Lonchura striata: one gene and its partner. The protein of the gene in region 1 interacts with the protein of each later gene in a pairwise test. Links are inferred from orthologs where the notes say so. Each region holds a gene or a part of one and is shown on either strand. Other genes may lie near its edges.

Region 1 (11,838 bases):
CTTGACAAATCTTTTCCTACCAGAAGCTGTCCATGGGCAATGTATGTGTGTTTTATATTAAATATACAATGCTACAGCTGTAAGTCGTCGTAGTAGCTTGTGGTGCTCTGAACACTTCATACCTGTGGTTTTAACCACCATGTATCTGGTTCCAGTCCCATATTAAGAAACATTCAGATCTTTACACATTTTCCTGCAGCACAGGTTAACACAAATACAGTAAGAGTTAGGTCTTGGGGTTTGGCTACCTACAAATGTCTAACTCAATTGAAAGAGTTCATTATTCAGCTTTCTTCTTTGCCTGAAAAGGCCATTCTGTCCCAGTTAAGACTCCAGTGTCCATTCTTCACCTGGAGCTTGTCACTTAAAATTTTAGGAAGCAAAAAGTACTGCAGCAGGTTCCTTTTTGACTGATGAAAGAGAACCTCTGTATTTCTTATGCAGTTCTGTGTATCTATAATAACCATTCAAGGTAATTTTGACAAATTAAAAGGTGAAACAGACTTCCTATGCTGTCCAGATCATTCTTTATAATTTCAAGCGTGTTTTTTCTTGCCTTGTATTTGAAGTCTTAGGAACTTGGAATACTGGCCCTAAAGGAAAGCATGTAAGTGTCTGTGGAATGTGAAACAGTGTCTCTGCTGCCATGAAACATGTAGCTTACAGGAAAGACAACATGCATATAGCACTATAAGTATGTAATGTACTGTGATCAACACCAAGTGCTCCTGATTTTTAATTATTGTGATAAAATAAACTACTTAGTTTCAATAGAAAAACACTCCTAAGTACTGTAACTCAATATAGATGAGATTGAGATTTGGTGTACCTTGGTTTAATTACATCTTGCTTCTTTCAGATGTGTTGGAAAAGACCTTCAGAGGCTTAGGCTATGATGTTCATTGTCACAGGTATTTAAATATGAACTCCATGAATCAAAAATTGCTTGAAGTTGCAAGGTGGCAGAAGCACAAATATTGTGACAGCTTCGTTTGCATATTGGTCAGCCGTGGAAACTCTCAGAGCATCTTCTGTACGGACCACACCTTTTCTGGATTCCCTTTGGAACAAATAAAGAAATACTTTACAGCAGACTCATGTCCTGGACTCCTAGGAAAACCGAAGCTTTTTTTTATTCAGAGCTATGTTGTGCCAGAAAATGAGCAAGAATATACCAGTCTGTCAGAAGTTGATGGGAATGCTGAGAATATCAGTTCTAAAGTCACGATTCCCCAAGCAGCAGACATCTTTTGGAGTCATTGCAAAGTGGATGTGTCTAAACTAGAACGATCCTCAACTTCATCCTCATATTATCTGCGTTGTCTGGCTGAGCTACTCCATAATCCTTATAAAAGGTAAATTAAAGTAAGAGTAAAAAAAATCATCCTTTTTCTATGCTAGCTTATTTTCATGGAGAATGAGAAACCTTAAATTTCAAACCATCTGGCCCTGAAATATGTTTTCTTGCAGTGTCATAGTCAAAAGACAAGTATCCTCATAAAATTGTGTAGAAAGGTAGCCTAAACTAGGAATGAAATTTCTGATTTTGCAGTATAAAGTTAAAGTGTGTTAAGGCATTGGGGTTTGCAGAGTAAGAAGGGAAGAACCTGTCCTAGATAATGTATGTCAGTGCTTTAGATGGGATTGGAAATCTTCCTTCTCCAAGATAAACAGGCTTCTGTTAAATTGAGGATTGCCATGTACCATTAAGATGAGCTGTGCTTGCAAATGTAAACAGTCAGTACTTAAGTTCAGGACAAAGGCAGTAGAGAGGGAAGGATTTTCTACATTTCCAAATTTAATTAACCATTTTTTCACAGAGCCAATTGATTTCCAATAGGTAATCTTGAATTTAAACTGACAGAAAACTTTTGTCTATTAAAGAGATCCAAACGAATCTGTGCAAAACTCAGAGGCATTTGGATATATAACTTAGCAACAAAGATTTTATAACTTACCAACAAAGTTTTTATTTATATAGCTGATCTACCAGGGAGCTAACAACTGTTATTCAAGGTAGTTACAGTGCTAACATTTAGTACCTTTTTACAAGCCCTAAAGCCCTGTCATGAAACCACAGATCATCATGTCAGCATAATCAATGTCACAGCAATGATTTGGGTCATAAAAGTTTGTCTCAAAATTTGTGTGTGTGTACAGCCTTGTGTGTTAGAGATTTTACCTCTGCAGTAGAGACTGAAATTACAAACTTTCTCCATGCTGAGTCTGAAGTTATCTTCTCTCTTGTGAATTCTTAAATGGTGTCTTGCTTCATTCTCTAATGGAATGCTTTTGATTTTTTTGCTGCAGGAAACGCTGTATATTGGCTATCCATATGGAACTGAACAAAAAAGTTTATGATGGGAATATGACCGTTGACCCAAGCCAACAATACTCACTGCTGCTCCAGCACACACTGAGGAAGAAACTTTTTTTCCCCACTTAACTGCTGTTAGAAAGTACATATCTGAAATTATTAACAAGAAGTACCCAGTAATGCCAGAACTTTGCTGACAAATTCTGGCTTGCATGCCTCTATAGACTGTCAAAACAGAAGGGAGAGAGAGATCTCCCCCTTTTCAGTAATCAGGATTCCATACTTTTATTTATGTGTTATTTCATGTATATCAAAAGTGCCTGTTGCTGCCAAACACAGGAATTTACAAGCATTTTAGTGTGCTAAGACACTAGATTTTGTATTTTAATACTGTAGTCTCTGAAAGCTTGGTTGAGAATAGTAGCTATTGTATAGCAGTGCAACATACCTTGTTACTGAATACCCCGGGTAAACAGAGTGTAAAGAGATCTAAACTGTATAGCTGTTGGGTTTTCCAAGAAAAAACAAAATATTTTTATTGCTTCATTTGTAGTTTTTAACATACCTTCTAGCAGTTAATACTTAAATAATAAAAAGCCAGCCCAAACCACTGAAACACATTGATTACTTTCCCCTGCACCTAGTAGTGGCAAATGTCTGAGGAAAGCATTCCTACCCAGTAATGCCAGATCTTTGCTAACAAGTTCTGGCTTGCATGCCTCTATAGACTGGCAAAACAGAAGGGAGAGAAAGATGGTCTTTTCAATAATCTGGATTCCATCTGTTTGCTGTATTAAAGATTGCATTGTTAGAACTGTCCACAGCACATGGGGGTTCTGTGTTAATAAATGAGACAGTCTGCCATCTTTGGGCCAAGTATGTTTTCTGCTGATGCAAAATGAGTCTACATGTGACAGGACATTACAGTAATCTGCCACACAGTTAAAAAAATGTGAGATTTTGGCAGATGTCTTGTGGAAGCTGAAACATGATTCACACTCATTGTACCAGGCATAGTTGTAAAAAGAGACTTTAAAATATTTCAACTTAAATGTAGTATGTAGCAGCCATGGGCCTTTAAAACTGGATTATGTTAAACACCCCGCCCTTACCGCATTTGCTTGTGAAAAAGAATATGCCTCTATTAACTCATTTTTTTCCCAAGTGCTCTTGTTCTTGTGAAAAAAGAAAAGGGAAAATTGTCCTAATTACAAAGCTTTTTCTCCAATGTAGCAGTTGCTTAACTAAAAGTTAACTGCCTTAAAGTTCAGTTAGCCTACTTGTATAACAGTATAACCTGGATGGGTTGTATTGAAGTTTATTGTCACTGAACTTAGTGACAATAAAGTAGGCCACTTGTAAATATTTAATTTTTACTCCTAATATACTCCTATGCGGGAAAATAATTCAAGGTCCTGCTGTGCTTTGCTTGGTTTCTGTTTAAATTTTTAATGGAAAAAAGGAAGGATACAGAATGACAGATGTGGAATCTTAGGAGGTACTTCCTCTGGTGGTTGGTAGATAAACTAAATGGTAAAACAAATGTTTCCTGTGCTTGTAGAAATATGCTGTCATTTCAAATTTCATATATCTAAGTAATATTAATATATGTGATCTTCTTCACAGATTAACTTCACTTTCCCATTTCCTTTACTAGCTTTTGCATTTGACAAGCACTTCTGCTACCCCATAGACAACCAAAAGCAGAGAGAATGGAATCAACAGGAGGCAGATGAGGAAAAGAAATGTGAAAATTTTAAGCAGGAACAAGAAGGGGAATGGTAGGGAGCATCAAGAGAAGAACAAGTAGATGATTTGGATGAGAAATACAGTATCAATATTGGAAGGAGAAGAAAACGGGAAAAAGGAAGTGAGAATAATAGTGGTTGTCTTTACAGACTCTAATGATGTGGTGAGTTGGTTGATGTTTTGTGGGCTGGTTGGTTGGGGGGTTTAGAGTGATGCTAAATGCAACTGTTTACTTAAGATATTAGTAGTAGAATAGATTCTGCTTTTACAGTTTTGTGACAAATTTGGTTTGGGGGTTAAGAAGTATATATGTTCTTTGCCTTACTGCAAGACAGTAAGTCCATGTCCCTTTCATTAATAAATTATGCAGAAATGCTGTTTTGAAAACTAGAGGCTCATGTAATTAACCCTTTCAGTGGAAAAGGAAGGGACACTGTGCATGGCTGCTTGGTTGGAAGTGGTTATAATCCTCTAGAGTTGTGGGGATAGACATGTATTGTGCAGCATTCATGGGTGTCAGATACTGATTTTTTACACTGATCCTCTGTAGATTCCCAAACGTAGCCATACGCAATCTATAATCATTCATCTAAGCAGTATTTATTGCCTTGGCACCTCTTTCAAGTGTGGTGTTCAAGCAAGCTGATCCCCTGTACCTGCTGCATAGTGAGTATTTATGCAGGACTTCTGTGATGGCTCTTCTGTCACTTCTCCCATAGCTTATAGGATCACAGACTCATAGAATAAGCTGAGTTAGAAGGGACCCATCAGGATCATAGAGTCCAACTCCTGGCCCTGCACAGGACACCCCAAGAATCCCGCCATGTGCCTAAGAGTGTTCTCCAAAAGCTTCTTCAGCTCTGTCAGGGTTGGTGCTGTGACCACTTCCCTGGGGAGCCTGTTCCAGTGCCCAGCCACCCTCTGGATGAAGAATTGAAGAACCTCTTCCTAAATTCTACCCTAACCCTCCCGTGACACAGTTTCATTTCTCAAGTCCTGTCAGTGGTCACCAGAGACAAGTGGTTGATACCTCTGCCCCTTTGCTTCCCTTCATGAGGATGTTGAAGACTGCAGTGAGGTCTCCCCTCTTCCTCCCCAGGCTGAACAAGCCAAGTGAGCTCAACCCCTCCTCAGAGGGCCTCCACTCCAAAACCCTTACCAGGTTTCTGTGTCCCTCCATACACATGAGGGGTCCTGTCTCTTCTTGCTGTAGTGCACACATAAAATTTGAGTCTAGAAACGGATGCGGGGTGTGGACTGCATCAAGCTGTCCCTGTACTGCAGGTAGTGAAATGATCTCAGGTTAAATGATCCTTTAGCCAAAAGAAAAAGGGGGAGAGAATTTTGGATCCATCATGAGTTTAAGGTGTTAGCACAGGAACATAGAGAAAGCAGAAAGCAAACACTAGTAACACTTAAATCTTCAATACAGCTGGTGAAATTTCGTGGTCTTGGACTGCCAAAATGTCTAATTTTCAGAACATACTGTTGGAGGAGATAAAACAAGTTACGCTGCTCCTGCATTGTCAGAGGTTGGAATAAGGCTGTCAGAGTCAATGCTTTGGCACTTAATTACAGTTTTGGTTTCTGATAACTGGAAGAAAATTTCTTGTAGTTCTGTATGTGCTCCATATATAGAAGGTGATGTCTTTAAGTGGCTCAGAAGCTGTATGCAAGAGGCAAGAGATTCAGTGGTGTTTTGTACCAGACTTGAGTTGCATGGTTTTTCTCAGCCACCTACACTGATGTGGCTGAGCCGTAAATTGAGCTCATTATCCAAAATAGAATTTATATTCAAGAGGATGTTACTGTGGTATAACTTGTAGATGGAGCATGTTGTATGGCTGATCTCCCCTTTCAACTCTGCATAAGAAGTAACAGTGGCTCCTATTACATATACCTGAGTCAGAGAAGCTTTTTATGGGAGTTTCTGAGAATTATTTTCTGTTTTCCAGAGTTTTAAGTTTCTGACATGCAGAACAGTATTGCTGAGGAGTATTGCTGTCTGTGTGGTTGATCTATATTCAATTTAAATTAAATCTCCTGTACTGAATTATTTGACAGCTTTTCTGTGGCTGGTTTAAATTATGTCTATTTTTCAGCTTCTGTATTAGAAACAATAATAAGACACTATGACTGGATACAAATGCTCAGTTTCATGGTGATATTCTGAATAAAATTTCTGTATGCAGTCAGACTGATTGTCCCTGTCTCCCTCTAGGCCATAGGATAACTCTGAAATTCTTGGTCTGTTTATCTTGCAGACCTATATAACTTGTTAAATTAGGCTGTGAAGTTTACAGTTCTATAAAAACGAGCTGACATAATAAAGGACAGCAAGACTTACAGTTTCAGCAGGTAACTCAGCTGCTCTCGGTGTGTTGGACAACTTTTGGCATGAACAAGGAGACACTTTTCATCCTGCCTCCACTGACGCGAGGTTGTGGGGGATACAGATGCTGAAGGCCCCAAGGAGCCTGCACTGAGCAGAGTCTGCTCACCTTCCTCCTCCTCCCTCTACTGCTGCGGACACGGACACGCAGCCCCACGTACAAATGGTGTTGCAGCCCTCTCCCGCAAGCGCTCCTCTTCAAGCTTCCTTCCAGCGGGAAACAAACATTCAAATAATGTGCCTAAAACGTTCGAGGCCTTTTTGCGATGTAGCCTGCTTTAACATGGCTTGGCAGCAAAAGCGAGGCGAATTACGGGTCACGTCTTACACTTCGTACCCCGGGCGCTGCCTGAAGGCTTTTCCCGTTCCCGGGCGCGGCAGGGCGGGAGGGGGCGGTGCCGCCGCTCCTGGTGGAAGCCTCGCGGGCCCTGGCAGCCGCGGCCCGCTCCTTCCCTCGCACTCCCCACTCCCACATTCCGCCCTGCTGCTGGCGCTGCCTCCCGCCGCCTGCTCGGGCAGAGCCGGGACACGCCTCCCCCGCCCGCGGCGAGCCGCAGAAGGGCCCGCGCAGGGAGCCGCGAGCCGCCGGCACGGCTAGCTGCCGGGAGAGGGATCGGGACTGGAACTCGTGTGAGAGGTACCAGAGCGTGGGGCTGAAGGGGAGAGGGCTCGCAGGAAGGCTCCGTCGCTCGCGTTGTGCGGTGGCTCCCGGCTGCGCGCTCCTCGGGGCGCTCCTGCCCACGTGCGCCGGCGGGCCCGGCTGCGGTTCGCGCGCTCCGCCTTGCCTCGGGCTTAACCCGCGGGGCACTGCTCCGGCCAGATACAAAGCTTAAAGCAAAGGTAATTTTACAATTCCTATCCTGCTTATTTCATACGATTTTCCTTTTCTGAGGCGATATCTGAAAGCATACATCAGAGATGCGGACTGGTTACTTTTCTGTGTCGATGCCCCGAGGCAGCTGTGGATATGCGGGTGAGCCGCTCCAAGCCTGGGCAGCGAGCAGATCCTGCACTGATTGTGCTCCCCCTTGTAGAAACCTTTGCTTCTAATTGCTATAAGCAAAAAATTGAAGATCTACCAGTTAGAAGGCACTGGAGCACCTTCTTATCTATTTAACCTTCCACGGGCAGAATTGAACTGCCTAGGCTCCATGGAAGAAGTCGGTGTAGTAGAAAGTCGATTAGTCTCTGTTAAACCTGAGTAAGAGAGAGTTGCTTGTGCAGAGCCTATTTAGACTGAGCATTGAGTGCTATTACATTTTAACTGCCAGTTACTTGTAAGGGAGGCTTATAAGGGGTTTTCTATGCCAACTGTCAAATACAATCCGGAAGCAAATTACAGCTGGGAGTGGATGGTTATTCCACAGCTTCTGTTTGGGTGTCAGCCTTGTAACAGAGGAACACCTTCCTGGTACAGCCAGAGAACAAGCTCTTGGACTGCAGATCAAGGAATATGCACAAACTACTGTGCTGTCTCCATTAATAGTTGTAATAAGTTACTGCAGGGACTCTTCCCCATTACAACAGAAAGACGCAAAGATCTGAATGTGGAAGATGTTCAAAAGAAAAGAAGATTCAGACCTTGAGGTCATCTTGCACAGTTTTTTGCTCAGAGCAGGGCTAACTTCAATTATAGACCGGGTTGTTTAGAGCTTCTGCCAGATCTGGTCTTTCTGTGTTCTGTGTTTAGACAAGGAAGTAAATTTCAAATTTATTTAAAACCTTTATTTATTAAAAGATAATTCAGGGCTTCCAAACAACCATTGGATAAAATTTTAGTAGAAGGATTGCTGTATTGAAGATTTAAGTGTTACTAGTGTTTGCTTTCTGCTTTCAGTCAGAGAGAAGCTGTTTCAGCTGTTGGTTCCAGCAACATGGAGAATAATATCAGCTTGAAGTTCCATCAGCAGCTTTTTCTTATTAGTGAAAGTCTGGTGACTGAAGATGTAGCAGCTTTAAAATTTCTCTGTACTGACTTGCTCCACCTCAGTAGACTAGAAGGTGTGAAGTTAGCAACAGACATCTTCAAGCTCCTTATGGCTCAAGAATATCTGAATGCAGAAGATACTTTCCTACTAGCTGAACTCTTATATAGAATTAGATGTCACTCCTTGCTCAAGAAAATTGGTTACACCAAGGAGAAAGTACAAGAACATCTGAGTGAGAAGGGAAGAATATCTCCATACAGGTAAGCTTGCAGTGGAATTCTCTTCCCTCCATTACTGCTATCTATGCCATACTGTTTTCTTTTCCATTTTTAAATTCTTAGATTGCCTTTGGTTTTTATGCCATCTTCTGTTCCACTTTTATCTCACTCTGTCTCTGTTACAGGCAGATGCTGTATGAATTGGCAGAGAACATCACCAGTGACATGTTGAAGGAAATAATTTTCCTCCTGCAAAACCATCTTCCAAAGGGATGGATAATTCCTGTATGTGAGGAGTCAAATGAGCCAAATGGTGGGAAGGGAAGAAGGAAGGCAGGAAATAGAAGAAAAAGTGTGAGCAGTGTTTGGCAGAATAGAGCATAATATGCAACTAGGCTGGTTGTATTCATAGGGATAGCAGGAAGGAAGATGTTGACAGGCAAGAGTAGAATTTGGTCCCTCGTGCTAAGGTCAGTCACTGACAGTTCACTGTCTAGCATCAGAGTATAAAAAGGTGACAAATCAAATCTTTGCCCTGCTTGAGCCATATGCAAGGGAGATTGATGTCCATATGTCATTGGTAGTTTCACAGCATTGAAGCCTTCTTGAAGCCACGAGCCATTAATACGGTTTGGGTGAATCTGTTTAAACAAGACCATACCAAATAAAAACACAACCAGTGGCTTCCATGAAGCAACATTTCTGCTGTAATGGTGATGTAAAATTGACTGGTCCTTGTTGGTAGGGAGCAAAGCAGATAATAATGTGATTGTTTGAGACAGGGCTGAGAGGCAAGCTTTGATTTCTAAAGAACAATAATTATATTTTACTCTCTCCTTTTGGCTGTCAGTCTGCTTTGGATTTGCTGACTTTATTGGAAAAGCAGGGCCTTTTAACTACAGACAATGTAAAGATACTGGAGGAGGTCTGTATGACTGTTTCACCTGATCTCCTGGAGACAATAAACTGCTACAAAAAGGGAAAAGGTGAGAAATTGATTGTCTAGGAGCAGGTTTGCTAAAATGCAGGAAGTACTATGGGTCTGGGCTACTGAACTTAAGGTCATATGTGTGTATTGCTAAATGGGAGCTAGAGTGGCATAAATCTGGCATAACAACTCCAAGCCTGCATAATTTCCTAGCTGAATCCCTGAAATAAAGGGATGTGCTGGAATATCTGAGCAACCCAGAGCACATACAGAACAGGGTGGGAAACTGAAAATCTGCTGATAGTTATGTCTCATTTGTCCATTTCCCCACTAATAGTATTGAGATGATGACAACTGTCCTGTAAAAGGCACTTGGGGATCTGTGAATGTGAATCTGGCAAGACACACTGTGTGGGTTTATGTGTGTCTGATACATGGGCTATGAGCAAACAAATTATTTATGGTTTTATATTTTTAAAAAATAGATTTATTATTGATTAATGAGAAAAATTGACAACTTCAGTAGTAAGAAGGCATATTCTTTTTAAATACTGGTAATTTCTAAGATGATTTCCAGATGAAAAATTTATTTGAATGTCTTGGAGAATTTATCCTTGTACCATGGGTATCTTTAATTTGCAGTATCGATACAAATAGAAGCCTTGCCTTTGTTACAAAAATACATCTAATAAAAATAAGCAAAAAATAGATCTAGAATATCAGAATAGATCTATTGAACATGACCATGCTATTTTGTATGGAATAATTATTTCTTTCAGTGAAAGAGTATTTCAAATACAAAAAGTGATGTATTGTAGCTAAACTCCTTTTTGTTGCATCCACAAATATTGGATTTATCTTCATAAATACCTATGCTGGGGTTTTTTCTAGATAACAAGAAAACTAATTTTACACAAAGCTTCTCTGAGCTAAACCTGGAGCTGCGTGGAGAATTCAGCAATGTAGAAAATGAACCCAAGGTTTGAGACAATCTCTTAAATCCTTTTTGAATACCTGCGGGTGTGAGGTTTTCATCCTCCCTTGAATGACATTTATCATGCAAGGGCTTGTGAAATATCAGGCTCATAAAGTTTCTTGAGTTGACTGATAAATTTGAATGTTTCAAAGAATATTTTAACCTTGGAGGCCAGAGATTTAGCAATATTGAAAGGTATCTTGTAGGCAAAATGGACATAATACCTCTGAAGTGATTCACACATCAGTGTTTATCTTCCTGATAAAGGCAAAACATTTTGCATTTTGGTGATGGCAGTAGAACGTGCAAGACACAGAGACAAATGGAGTTTCACAGTTCTCACTTTTTGCATCTGGTTTCAAAACAGCCTCAGGGCATCTTGAAATTAGAAGTCATAAGGGGTAGCATGCAAAGCCTTTGTTAGAAGGATTAAAAGGAGGCCAGAGTTTTTAGTAAGCTATTGCAGAGGTCTTGGTATATGAGAAAAGATCCTTTTTGTGAGATCCCCTCTTACAGGCCTTTATGTGCACTCTTTAACCATAGCAGTGTAACCATTGAATTCTCCCTCTGGCCTTTTCTTTGTGACGACCATGGATATTGAAAAAGCAAGTTGCTCCATTTGTTTATAGCCATTTAATTTCTTGAAGTTCTGTGCTGTAACATCTTTTCATCACCTGATGTTCAGACTGCTGCAAAGCTGTTGAAGGAACTTGGAGTGCTTCCTTCATTTTCTCCTACTAAAATGCACAAAAGGAGGTGTGTATTGCTCTCTAGTGAGGAGGAAGGGACTCTGGTGGATGGAGTTTTTTATTGCAACCCAAGGTTGGACTTAAATTCATGTTACTTGAAATGTTGGTTCTTTTCAGCTTTAAAAATGCTTTTGGTTTTGTTTTCTTTTTAAAAGTGGGAGGTAATTTTAAATCTTAACCAAAAAACTTGTAGTGTGATAGGTTTATGTACTTCTGAGATTGCTGTTCTGCTTCCATCCTTTTCCAGTGGATCAGTATGAATCACCTAGTCCAGGTATTTATTACCGTTCTCAAAAAAAAGCCAACTCAGATGTCTAACTTCCCATAGTTTCAGTGTGATCTCTCTGCTATTAAGCTGAAATACTGTTTTTGGCATTGGAAGCAGTTGGGGTCTTCTGTCCCCGTCACCAAACTCAGAGTTTGGCTGCTAAATCCTGCCTCTTGCATACAGATGAGAACCCAGATGCTAAATCCTTCTTCTGCAGTTTGACAGGATGGTGACAATGTGCTTGGAGATTCACTGCTGTTTTTTGAGACATGTTAAGGAAATATGAGTAAGTTGAATAAATTAATTGAAACTG
Region 2 (11,857 bases), on another chromosome or scaffold:
CAAGTCCCTTTAGGTCTGAGTGTGTGTGAATGTGGATATGCCATAGCAAATTCATTATGAATATTGCTCTCTTTGATTCTTCAGCGCATTAGGTTTATAAGTAAGATAGTGAGTCACTGTCATGCCTATATTAAGTTATGTATGAATCTTTTGTTAAATTGTTTAAATTAAGCTTTTGATTAAGAGCGGCTATGTTTAATTGCTGTTATAACCTTTAGACTAAACCATTCATCAAATCTGGGGTTAAACTTGGCAAGTGGGTCCACTATGAATGCTGTGACTCAGTGTGTCTTATTCCCTTTCCTGTTCTTACTTCCATGCAGATAAATTTTGGTTGATTGATTTTTAGATTGATTGATTTTAGTTTTATTTTTAGTCTGCTTTAACCATCTAATAATGATGTCATAGATGTAATGGTGTAGTAATGCAATAATGACATAACGATGTAATAATGTAGTATTGATGGCAGTAGAGTGAACATCACCAACAAACTTTATTATGATTTCACTTTAATATTAGATCTGCTTTTGCCCATCCCTTTTCTGGTGATTCTCCGAGTGACTTAAACCACTCACTTGCGGCACTTCCCATGCCAGAACTGCTGGATACTGCCTCAGCCACGGTGGAAAGTAACAAGCACTAAAGTACATGAGGCATGGAGTGGACACACTGAACAATGGAAAAGGCTGTCATCTGAATTGCACTTTCATTTTCTGAACACAGTCCATACTTCACACTGAATGGAAAAGGATTGACAGGAACAAAATGCCATAAGCACCAGTCAATTAAAATAATACCATACCAATGAAGCAAATCTTTGGCAGAACCAAGAGCAATAGTCTAAACATAATTGTCTTCTTATGGCTAATGTATCTTACAGACTTAACATTCTGCTTACACACTGTTTTGTGTAGAATTTTAAGCAGTCCATAAAGCCCATCAGAGATGTAATACATGCAGGTAAAAAGCAAAATCTGTGTCATTGCTTTAGCCTCCTTTGTCTGGGCCTGTACGTATGGGTGTCAATGTCTCTTCACACTAAATATGTATATATGCAAATGTGAGGCACAAATACATGCTTTCCAGGTCTAACAACTTCCCATGATGAAGTATATAAATATCACTTCTGCAAAGGAGAAGAATGATTGAAGCTTCCTCAGAGAAAATGAAAGGTACCTGCTGTTCCTTCCAGGAGCCAGCAGAAGCTGTCAAGGGCAAAAGGAGAAGCTGAGAAGTTTGCTCTTTCAGCAAAGAGCAAACTCTGCTGAACACCTTGCAAGGTCCAGTTTTTAGGTTTGTGGGGTGTCACTAAAAAGCTGGCGTCAGTATAGAGAGACAAAGCATGTTGATTCACAACAGGTCTTTTTACACATACACCTGTCAGAACTGCCATGTGCATTTTAAATCAGGATGATCTACTCACACATGTCTGTACTCCTGCTTGCATTTGCACGCCACCTTCAACAACTGAAAGGTCTATATTCTGGTTATTTTTAACTTTATTACACTAAAAACTACATGAAGGTAAAATGGAGGCCTTATGTCAATGTCCCCATGACCTCCTCTCAAGCATAGTTAAGCCATGATGCAACCTGGCAGCTCTTTTAGCCCCCTTCCATTAAACTAATCACAGCTACCAGCAGTCTGTCAAATCAAGTGCATTATTTCTCCCTACAACTTTGCTTCATGTCTGGACTTCAGTCTTCTTCTGAGCATCCTTAATGGCAAGTCTATCCTGAAACAGAAACCACTAGCCAATGCCTAGAAAAGATTTCATTTTCACCTCTGAAATGCTGATTTTCTCTAATCCTCCCTCAGAATATTTATACCCTGATTGCTTCACCAATATTTTTTTTCTTTCAGAAATCTGCACCAGAAATACAGACACACACTCTGACAAATAGGATAGCACAGAGCAGTTAATCTATCTACTCCTCCTAGAGTGAAAAAAATACTTTCAAGCTTATGCTTAAATTATACAATTTTATTCACAATGTGGCCATCTTCAGCCTACTTCTTACGCTTAGACACTTCAGCAACACTAATATGAAATTGTTACACAGTGGAAAAAAAAAATTCTTGTCCTTAATTTGTCGGTTAATTAAGTTGTCAATGGAAGTTAATATTTGTTTAACTTCTGAAACAATACTTTGAATATTTCACACTTGGAAAGTTGATATCACTGTTCCAGTTAACAGTTAACTGCATTCTTTTGGGAATGAATGCAGCTGCCAGACACCCGATAATGAAATATATACAGCATCAGCGATACTTTCAGTGCAGCAGAACTTCTGGCTCTATAACACTTCATTCATTGGAATGATGTGATGCCAACCTCCTCGCTCTCCTAAACAAGACTGTAATGGGACTTATCTGACGTGGAAGGGTAAAGCTGTCACACACTGAGCAAAACGAAACCGGCACCCTATCCACAGTTTCGGAAGCACACTGGGATGGGCGGCGGGCTGGAGTGCCACGGACTTTTTCACTCGCGGGGCAGCCTCGTCCGGGAGGGGCTGGTCCTGCGGCTGTCCCTGAGCAGGGCAGGGAGAGCTCAGGGCACCGTCTCTCCTCCTTCTCCTGGATCCCTGCACTTCCCTCGCGCCCCGCTCCCGCAGCCGCGGACCGGCAGCCAGCGCCCCCGCACCTCCCTGCGTCCCGCCCGGCCCGCCCGAGACCGGGGCGGCCCCGCGCCCGCGCTCACCTTGTTGGTGAAGCTGGAGGCCAGGTAGAAGAGGCAGAAGGCGAGGCCGCCCGCCGGCCTCTTCAAATACATCCGTCAGCGCGGGCGCGGAGCGCGGCGGGCGGGGGCGGCCATCGGCCGGGCCGCGGACACGTCGCTCCGCGGGCGCCGCCCCCGCGGGGCCGCTGCTGCCGCCCGGCGGCCGCGCCGCGCCCCGCCGGCCGGAGCGGCCGGAGCGCCGCAGCCCGGGCACCGCGCGGCCCCGGCGGCAGCGGCCAAACGCGGCCGGCCGGGCAGGGAGGACATTGTCCCCTCTCCTCTGCCCTTGTGAGACGCCCCTGGAGTGCTGCGTCCAGCTCCGAGGCACTCGGCACGGGGAAGACCTGTAGAAGCAAGTGCAGAGGAGGGACGCAAAGATCATCAGGGGGCTGGAGCACGGCTCCTGGGGAGTCAGGCTGAGGGAGTTCGGGATGTTCAGTCCGGAGGGACCTTACACCAGCTTTTAGTGCTTAAAGGGGACCTGCAAGAGAGCTGCAAAGGGACTTTTTACATGGGAATGTGGCGGAGGGGGGGGGGGGGGGGGGGAGGGGAGAATAGCTTTAAACTGAAAGAGGGCGAATTTAGACTAGATGTAAGGAAGATGTTTTTTACGGTGAGTGTGGTGAGATGCTAGAACTGGTTGTGGATACACCATCCTTAGAAGCGGTCAAAGCCAGACTGGACCTGATCTAGCTAAAGACGTTTAGCAGGATGCCCTGCCTTGGAATGTGGTCAAGCAACTTCATCAATGCCCTATTTACAAGGCTATCAGTCCAGTGGTGGACTGAGAGAAGGCATCAAGATGGTTTTGGTGTTGAATTATGACAACACTAGACTGACACATCAACCCAAATTAATATCCTGACAGTGAGGTAAAGATTTAGCAGACAAGGTGCTTAGCTGACTTGGAGATATATGACTGGTAGTCAGTCACTGCACACTATAAAAGTCCAGTCCATTTTCTTATGGTTGGGTTCTTCAAACATATCCCTTCTTGAAGTGTGTATGAAGATTCCTCCTTTGGGTTGGGACACCCAAAAATTACTCCTTAAGGCTGAGTGAGTGAAAAAGATTTTGCCCATGGTCATTGACATGGGTGAAAGACATCCTTCTCTGCTTTAAAAACTATTTCTTTTTTGCTAGTTTTAATAGAATTGCTTTAATATAGTTGCTTTGATAGAGTGCACTGTGCCATCCTATTCTAGTAGTTTTATCTTCTATAGTGTGTAGTAAATAATTCTGAGTAAGATCTCTTTGTCTAATAATTTACCATAATGAATCATTTTTATATAAATAGATCTGGTTTTCCATAATTTATCCTACAGGACAAAGCTGTACAAAGGTTCAATCACACCTCTATAATTTCTTAAACTTAAATCACCAACAGTCTGAGGCTAAGATTGGATCCAGCTGCACCTTGGCTCTTCTCTGAGAAGGAATTTAGAAAGCAAGGGAGTCCTGTCTGCACATCATGGCTCAATGGGAGGGATCTCTACTAAGTTTTGTCTGAAGACCCCACTCACACTCATGAGAAGAAGCCCCTGCTTATTGCAGGGGGGCTGGACTAGATGGCTAAATTGAATGGCCCCTTCCTACCTTCTATGATTCTATGATTCACTGGTGACGTGTGAACCGTAAATATCCCAGGCAGGTCAGAAGCAGTGAAAGACACGCCCTGTCAGGTCATGGTTACTGGGTGATCTTTTATTACGGCCTAGGTAAGCCTTGTTTTTCCCAGTCCTGGATTTAGCAAGGCCCTATCTTTGCAGTTCTTACCTTGACTTTGCTCAGGTAACACAAAGTATGGGGCTCTCTCTGTACATGTACACCCTCTTTTTAGAGGACAGAGCAAAGCAGCATAAGTAAGGAATTGTTTATGAGCATGGCTTAAACTAGGGAGGGAGGGAGGCACTAAGTGGTCAAATCCAGGCCGTAAGATGAGCCTGTCTAACCTGCTGCATTTAGCCTCAAAAGACAAGGTCAACAGAGTGCAACAGCTGAACAGCTGACCAAGATAAATTCAAGTGTTTTGGTGAATCAGACATCATCCTATCTGGTTTGTAAGGTGGTGGTCCAACAAAGACATTCGATTTCCAGTGCTGAAATGTTTGGTCCATCCAGGTTCATGGAGATCACTGATAAGACACTGTAATGGATGTGTTAGAGATGTCAGGGATACAGAATTTCCACTGTGCATCTGTTTATGTACAAAGTGAGAGCACCTGAGAGCACTTGTTTATGTACAAATGTGAAATGTGTATTTGGCAAACAAAGGCACACTTTGCATTGTGCCACAAATTCAGCCTGTAAAGCTTTAAAAAAGAGTAAGTAAAGTTCATGGATATCTACAAAGACTAATATAAGTATGCAGTAAGAGTACTTTTGACATTTTATTACAGTGGGCTATCACTTTCATGCAAAATATTACAGTGATATGTCTGAGCTTTTTGCAGTATTTCTTAGTAGAAGTGGGACATATATATCATCTTGGGCAATGATATATTTTCTTACAGCCAAATACAGAGGCAGGTATGAATTCTTGTACACCACTTACACTGAGGGATTAAGAATGAAGAGGTAAATTTCTATAAATTTCTTAACACAATTCAGTTCAAAGCTTGATCTATTCACATGAGAGGTCATGGGATCATGTCCTAATCAGGAAATATTTAAGAGACTAAAATAGAAAACTTATTTTTGAAAACTAAAAGCTTAATAACAAGACATAGGAATATATAGTTACTGTTCGTGTCTTTCTGAATCAAAACCTACCAAAACCCATTTTCTTAATCAGTGCTTGTACAGCTGTGCAAGAATAATGATTTTAACCAGGGCAGCAGGACATTGCTTTGATATTCTGCTCATATATAAAACTGTTAATTTTAGACCAAGAAGATAGAAGGGATCATGCAGTAATCTTCATATGCCAAAAGGCAGTTGCAAAGGGAACAAAATAATCTCTTTTCACCAGGGTGAAAAGTGCAGAGAGGGTAAGAAACATGCTGGTACTGTGTCACCAGACAAAGCCACTCTTGCCAGCATTTAGCAGTGCTGTGTGTCATTGACCTGACAATCTTAAAGGTCTTTTACAACCTAAATAATTCTATGATCCTAAAATGCCTTCGTGGCACAAGCCTGTGTCATGCCTGCAGGTTGTGTGTTACAACCTAGGTCCCTACCCTCTTCCAAATGGTATGTCTTTTAGCTGGGAACTTTCTGTTGTAGTGAACTCTGGAACCAACTGTCTTAGGAGATCATAACGTGTTACGTCATTGCAGGTTGCTAAGGACAAATAAGAGGAACTTTGGCCAACAAAGCTGATTCTTGCATGGCTGAGAACTGATATGAGTGGCCTTACTGGGCCTGCCTGGCAGTACAGGCTTTGCTAGATGTAAAACAGGGAACTTACTCTGAGCAGGCTGGGGGATTCCTTACCACAGAATCCCTTACCACTTCTGCCCTTGCAGAAGTGCAGCTTTCCTAGGCTGGTTTTCAGATTATCAACAGTGACAGCGCATTTGTCTGACTGCAGACAGATACCTTCAACAGATGGTGATAAACCAGCCAGAGGAGATTTCTAGGTATTGCTTCCTTCCTTTACGGAAACTTGCCCAAGTAGACCTAATATGTCATAGCAAAACTATAATTTCATTGCTGTCCTGGAAATAGGTCATTTTAGTCACAATACTGTTTTCCAGATAAACATTACATATAAAATTGAGATATAAAAGGCAGCAGGTCACATACAAAGTATTTAAATTTGGATCTACAGTGACTTACAGAATTGGGATCAGATTAATTTGTTTGCTTATGGTTTGGTTAATTAGTTGTATTTTCTCCTGTTCCCTCAGTTACTTCCTGAAATAAAAACAAATGCTAAGTATTTCATTTCACATAGTCAATTAGGTTGGAAAAGACCTCTGAGACTGAGTCCAATCTATGACCAAACACCAAGTGGACTAGAGCATGGCAATGAGTGCCACATCCAGTCTTTCCTTAAACACCTCCAGGAACGGTGACTTCATCACCTCCCTGGGCAGTTCACTCCAATCTAATCGCCCTGTCGGTGAAGAAACTCTTCCTAATGTCCAATCTAAACCTCCCCTGGCGCAGCTTAACGCTATGTCCACTGGTCCTGTTACTTGTTGTCTGGGAGAAGATGCCGACCCCAGCTGCTCACACCCTCCGTTCAAGTGGTTGTAGAGAGCCATAAGGTCACCCCTGAGCCAACTTTTCTCCAGGCTAAAGACCCCCAGCCCCTCAGCCGCTCTTTATCAGACTTGTGCTCCAGGCCCTTCACAGTTCCGTTACCCTTCTCTGGATTCCATCCATTTGTTTTGCCGCTGGTTTACTGTTTGGTTTGGTTGGTTGTTTTTGTTTTTTTTTTTTTTCCCTCCCACCCTTGGTTCCCTTGGTTACTTCCCGAGATAAAAAACCAGCGTCAGCTATTAAATTTCTCCCTTTCGCAGCCCGGCGCTGCCCCTCAGCCGCCGGGCAGGGGCGGCCGGGCGCGGCTCCGCACGGGGCTCCGCCGGCGCGGCGCGGCCGCCCGGTGACATCACCGGAAAGGCGGGCCAGCCCCGGCCAATGGGCCGCCTGCCGGCCGCGGGGACCCGCGGAGGACCCGGAAGGCTCCGCAGTCGCGGAGAGACGCCGCTCCTGCCGCCCGCCGCTGCGTGCCCGATGGACGCGGTGGGAGTCGCTGCCGCCGCGCCCGACGCCGGGCCGGGCCCCGCCTGGCAGAGCAAGGTGAGCGCAGTGCCGGCGCCGCGGGGCCGCGCCCGACGCTGCCCGCGCTCCGGGAGCTGGACGACGAGGAGGAGGAGGAGGAGGAGGATCGCTGGGGCCGTGGGGAGGGCGCTCGAGGTGGTGCCGGCACCACCAGGGTGGCGGTCACTCGGCAGAGCGACCCCAGCGCGGTTTGCTGCTGCCGGCAATGAGCTCCCTGGTGGAGAGAGCTGTTGTGCCAGCCCGGTAACTGAGTTGCTTCCCTCCGAGGGAGTTGGAGCCGGGTGAGCTCGGTTATCCTGGCGGTAGGCAGCGAGTCCCGGCTTGCTTGGATTTGCCGTTCCCCAGCCCCCGCCTCCCGAGCGAGCTGTTGTATCCCTGTGCGGCTTTGAGATGCCATGTTTTACGGTGGCTGACCTTTCAGCGCTCTGGGAGCGGGGGAGGAAGCAGTGCGTAAGCCATTGCTGTTGGGCATTCCAAGAGAAGTTTACATAGGTTGTGTGTCTGTTTGTTTGCAAACCTCTTGGGGAAACTTTACCCCTGTCTCCAGAGGGTACCGACACTGACAAACTGACTTTTTTTCCTTCATTAGTAAGTGACTATCAACAATTTTTCAACGCCGGTTCTCCCGATTGAGTTTATGAAACTACTCTTTGAGTAGTTCCCCAAGTATCTATAGAAGAGCCCTTACAGGATTACATGAGCTTATTTTGGAGCCAGCGATAGCTAATAATCCTGATTATTGTGTTGCCGCTGCACAAGTCTTGCTGACTTGAATAAAATGTTTATTTACAGTGTCCGTGGGGAGCCCCTAGCACAACATCAATATCATGTTCTCTTGCTGATGTAATGAGTGAAGAGCTGGCAAAAGAATTGCAACTGGAAGAAGAAAATGCTGCTTTTCCTGAAGTGGTTGCGTAAGTTTAAGTCCTGGAGTAGTGATCTCCATAGTTGTGATGCCATCTTCTCTCTTGTGCATTTTCTTACAATGTGCTCAGTGCATAGCAGTATAGTAAATGATTTGCCCATTCCCCCTAACTCTGCTTCCTCAGATTTTCTTCAGTGAAGATGGCTTCCTCAGCTAAAAGTCTTCCTTAGATTCTCTTCCCTGATGCTCTTCCTTCCTTATTGATGTTTTCTTTGTATTTTCTGGGGGTGTTAACACAGTCTGTAAGCTGTATTTAGAGAAATGTTTTTTTCCTACTTTTTTAGGAACTCTTTTCAACAATATACAATGTTATTTTGAGAACTGTCAGGTATATCACCTGTATCTTCCCACTACCTGAAAGCTCTAAACAAAGGCTAAGAGATTACTAGTTCTAAAATTCTACAATTTTTGACTATCTTTCCTGTGAAGCAGAACAAGGCAACAATATTTGGGATGCTTTAAACATATAAATAAGTATACACGTGCATACACCTGTATGCCTTCTTTTTTTTTTTTTCCTGAAGAACATCTTAAAAATAGAGCTTAATGCTTCTTGCAGAATGGTAAACAAGCAAAAGTTTAAGTAAAATTTACATTGTTAATGAGTGGCAAAGAGAAATGAAGTAATGATCTATTAATATTTTGTGTTGGCTTGGAGAGGAGGCAGACAGCTGAGATCCATTCCTTTCTGTCAGCTCTGCATGAAGTCTGTTGTATAGAGTGGGAAAGCAGTATAAAGCAGTGTTTCTGCTTAGATTGTTGTGTTTAGTTTTTTTAAAATTCCTATTTTTATCTAATGTAGCGCTGCTGAAGGACCATTTATTACAGGAGAAAATATTGACACTTCTAGTGATCTAATGCTAGCTCAGATGCTGCAGATGGAATTTGACAGGGAATATGATGCGCAGCTTCGGCGTGAAGAGAAGAAGATCAATGGAGATAGCAAAGGTACCTTCATCAGAATATTTTTGCTTTGGAGCTGTTTTTGGCACTTACCTTAAATTGACAGAGCTGTGAGGAAGTAGCAAATCCCTAATAATCACAGACATGCTTATTTGTTTTGTTTTTCAAGTTTCCATATCCTTTGAAAATTATCGGAAGGTGCATCCCTATGACAGTGACAGCTCAGAGGATGAGGTTGATTGGCAGGATACCCGTCATGATCCATATAGAGCAGGTATGGGACAGCTTTAAACAATAGAATTTCTTCAGCCAATAGACCTGAGAGTATGACAGAGTTAAATTAGGTCTTGTTTTAATGTAAGGAGAGACACCAGCTACATTTAAAATCAGGTCACTTCAATGGGAGGTGTCAGCAGGAGGTTGGGTGGGTAACTTCAGGCTTCTGTCTGCCAGTGTATTAGCTTCAGTGGCTGAATCTGGCAAAATAACCAGCGTACATGGGAAGTACTGTGGGATGTGCTCATCTGTCATCCACGTTTGGATGAAATAGTTACATATCTTCTGCACATGTTGTAGCATGCCAGAAATGGGTCTGACACCCCATAGAAGACTGAGAAGTTGTAACATAGCCAAAGGAGCTGTCACGCTTAGGATAGAGGAAGACTGTATTAAGATCATATAATTGAAGTAATTTACTCTGTTTTATAAATAAAATTATATTACTTTTGTGGATGTTGTGGGATTTCTGTAAGCATTGGTTATGTTTGTTTAGGTGTAAAGTTTGATTTCTTTTTCTCACTGCGGGCAGATAAACCTACTACTACACCAAGAAGGGGTTTCATAGGAAAAGGAAAAGACATTACTACGAAACATGATGAAGTGGTATGTGGAAGAAAAAACACTGCTCGCATGGAAAATGTAAGTGAAAACTTAAGGAAACTTATTTTGTGTGTAAAACTGGAATGCTGCAATTCAGCCAAAGAGCTAATGCTTGTCCACCAGTACTGCTGGGTAGGGGGCTGACTTCTGTTTTTTCCCTGTTGGATGATAGCAATGCACTCTTTGCTTTATTGGTTATTCACATTGGCAGTTTGAGTTTTGTGGGTTTTCTCTTTAAAAGTAGTTTGTTATTGAGCAATTCAAGAATGTGCACAGAACTCTCTTGGGAAAACAAAACTATCAGCAAGTCTGTCACACAAGCAAATAAAACACAAAAGCTATTTTTGAAAAGCACAGATGTTGTGCAATCTCTCTTCTAATTAATTTTTTCTGGTAAGCCAAGTAACTTATTTTCAGTCAATTCCTTGACTTACAGCTTTTCAGTTTGTTTATCTGTAGTACATACCTTTAATCTTTTTTAAAGTAACTGGTGCAACTTCTGTAAATAAGGTAATGCTGCAAGTACTACTTTTGCAGGATGTTAGGTAATCTCATATCAATTTGGGCAGAACTTTGAGTTCTGAGTTTAAAGCAGTGGGTTTTTTAAGCATAGTGACAACATTGCACAAAGTGGGTTTCACATAGGTCCAAATCTATCCCAAGTTTTTCCAAATCAGAATGAGAAATTTGTTTGTGCCAACTTTTGGCATCTGCTAGTAACAATGCTTAAATTTCTATTATTTCTGCTCATAGTTTGCACCTGAATTCCAAGTTGGGGATGGAATTGGAATGGACTTAAAGCTGTCAAATCAAGTCTTCAATGCCTTAAAACAGCATGCATACTCTGAGGAACGTCGAAGTGCAAGGCTCCATGAGAAGAAGGAGCACTCCACTGCTGTATGTTTTTAATCAAGTCTCTCGATCTACTCCTCATCTTGTGTAATAGCTAAACGCTGCTGGGAAACTTCTTGCAACATTCCATTTTTAGTAAAACAGCTAAGCAACATTATGTTAATGTTGCTGAAAGAAATAATATCAGCTAGCTCCTATTAGAAAAAGGCTATTTGAGCTACATTACTGTGAAAAATATGTTGAAGTAAGAGCAAGCAGCTACTGTTTTTTTGTCTTTGTCTTTCTAAACTTGTCTCTTAATCTGCTATGTTGAATAAACTGCCTGGAAGTTATTTATAGAAACATTCAGAGGACTAATCCCCTGCAGTTGAACCATATGGCTCCAAATATCTGTCTTCATAACAAGGTTCAGGAGGATGAGGTGACCAACTGGCATAATAATTTAGAAGTTTACTTGGTAGACTGTATGGCTGAGTTTTAAGTAGGGCCTCTGGTAATTCCTGATGTGGACTTGTTCAAATTTGTGTGTTTTGCTTTGCTTTATTGTTACTTATATCAAAGAAATATAATGCTTAGGATATTGTGATTCATGATTTGTAAAGGCTTCTTGAAAACACTGTAGAAAGTGCTGTCGAGCCACAGTCTATATGTGCAATTAGTAAGATATTCTATGTGCTGCACAGCTGATGAGATACTAAGATTATTAAATCAATCCTGGAGCAGATTTGCTTTGCTTCAAATGTTTATTTTGGTTTGGCTTTTTTTTCTCCCCTTTGTCAGTTGAGATAAATTTTATTAATACATTATTATTTCCACTTAGTTGAATTCTTGTGGTATATAAATAT

The links.
Region 2: the proteins of caspase-10 (region 1) and RIOK3 interact in binary tests that used the Homo sapiens proteins (3 or more experiments, as listed by UniProt). The link is inferred for Lonchura striata from reciprocal best matches to the Homo sapiens genes CASP10 and RIOK3.

What each region holds. Positions count from the first base shown.
Region 1 is NC_134610.1:27,085,689-27,097,526, reverse strand, and holds the start of caspase-10, read left to right. Parts: upstream 1-6,978; 5' UTR 6,979-7,298; intron 7,299-8,295; 5' UTR 8,296-8,332; coding exon 8,333-8,646; intron 8,647-8,789; coding exon 8,790-8,889; intron 8,890-9,454; coding exon 9,455-9,590; intron 9,591-10,423; coding exon 10,424-10,512; intron 10,513-11,838. UniProt on the Homo sapiens protein: Involved in the activation cascade of caspases responsible for apoptosis execution. Recruited to both Fas- and TNFR-1 receptors in a FADD dependent manner. May participate in the granzyme B apoptotic pathways.
Region 2 is NC_134603.1:47,148,035-47,159,891, reverse strand, and holds the start of RIOK3 (serine/threonine-protein kinase RIO3), read left to right. Parts: upstream 1-7,317; 5' UTR 7,318-7,405; coding exon 7,406-7,471; intron 7,472-8,245; coding exon 8,246-8,367; intron 8,368-9,180; coding exon 9,181-9,326; intron 9,327-9,450; coding exon 9,451-9,555; intron 9,556-10,089; coding exon 10,090-10,199; intron 10,200-10,913; coding exon 10,914-11,057; intron 11,058-11,857. Other genes in the region: SLC35D4 (UDP-N-acetylglucosamine transporter TMEM241), read right to left, coding at 2,705-2,776.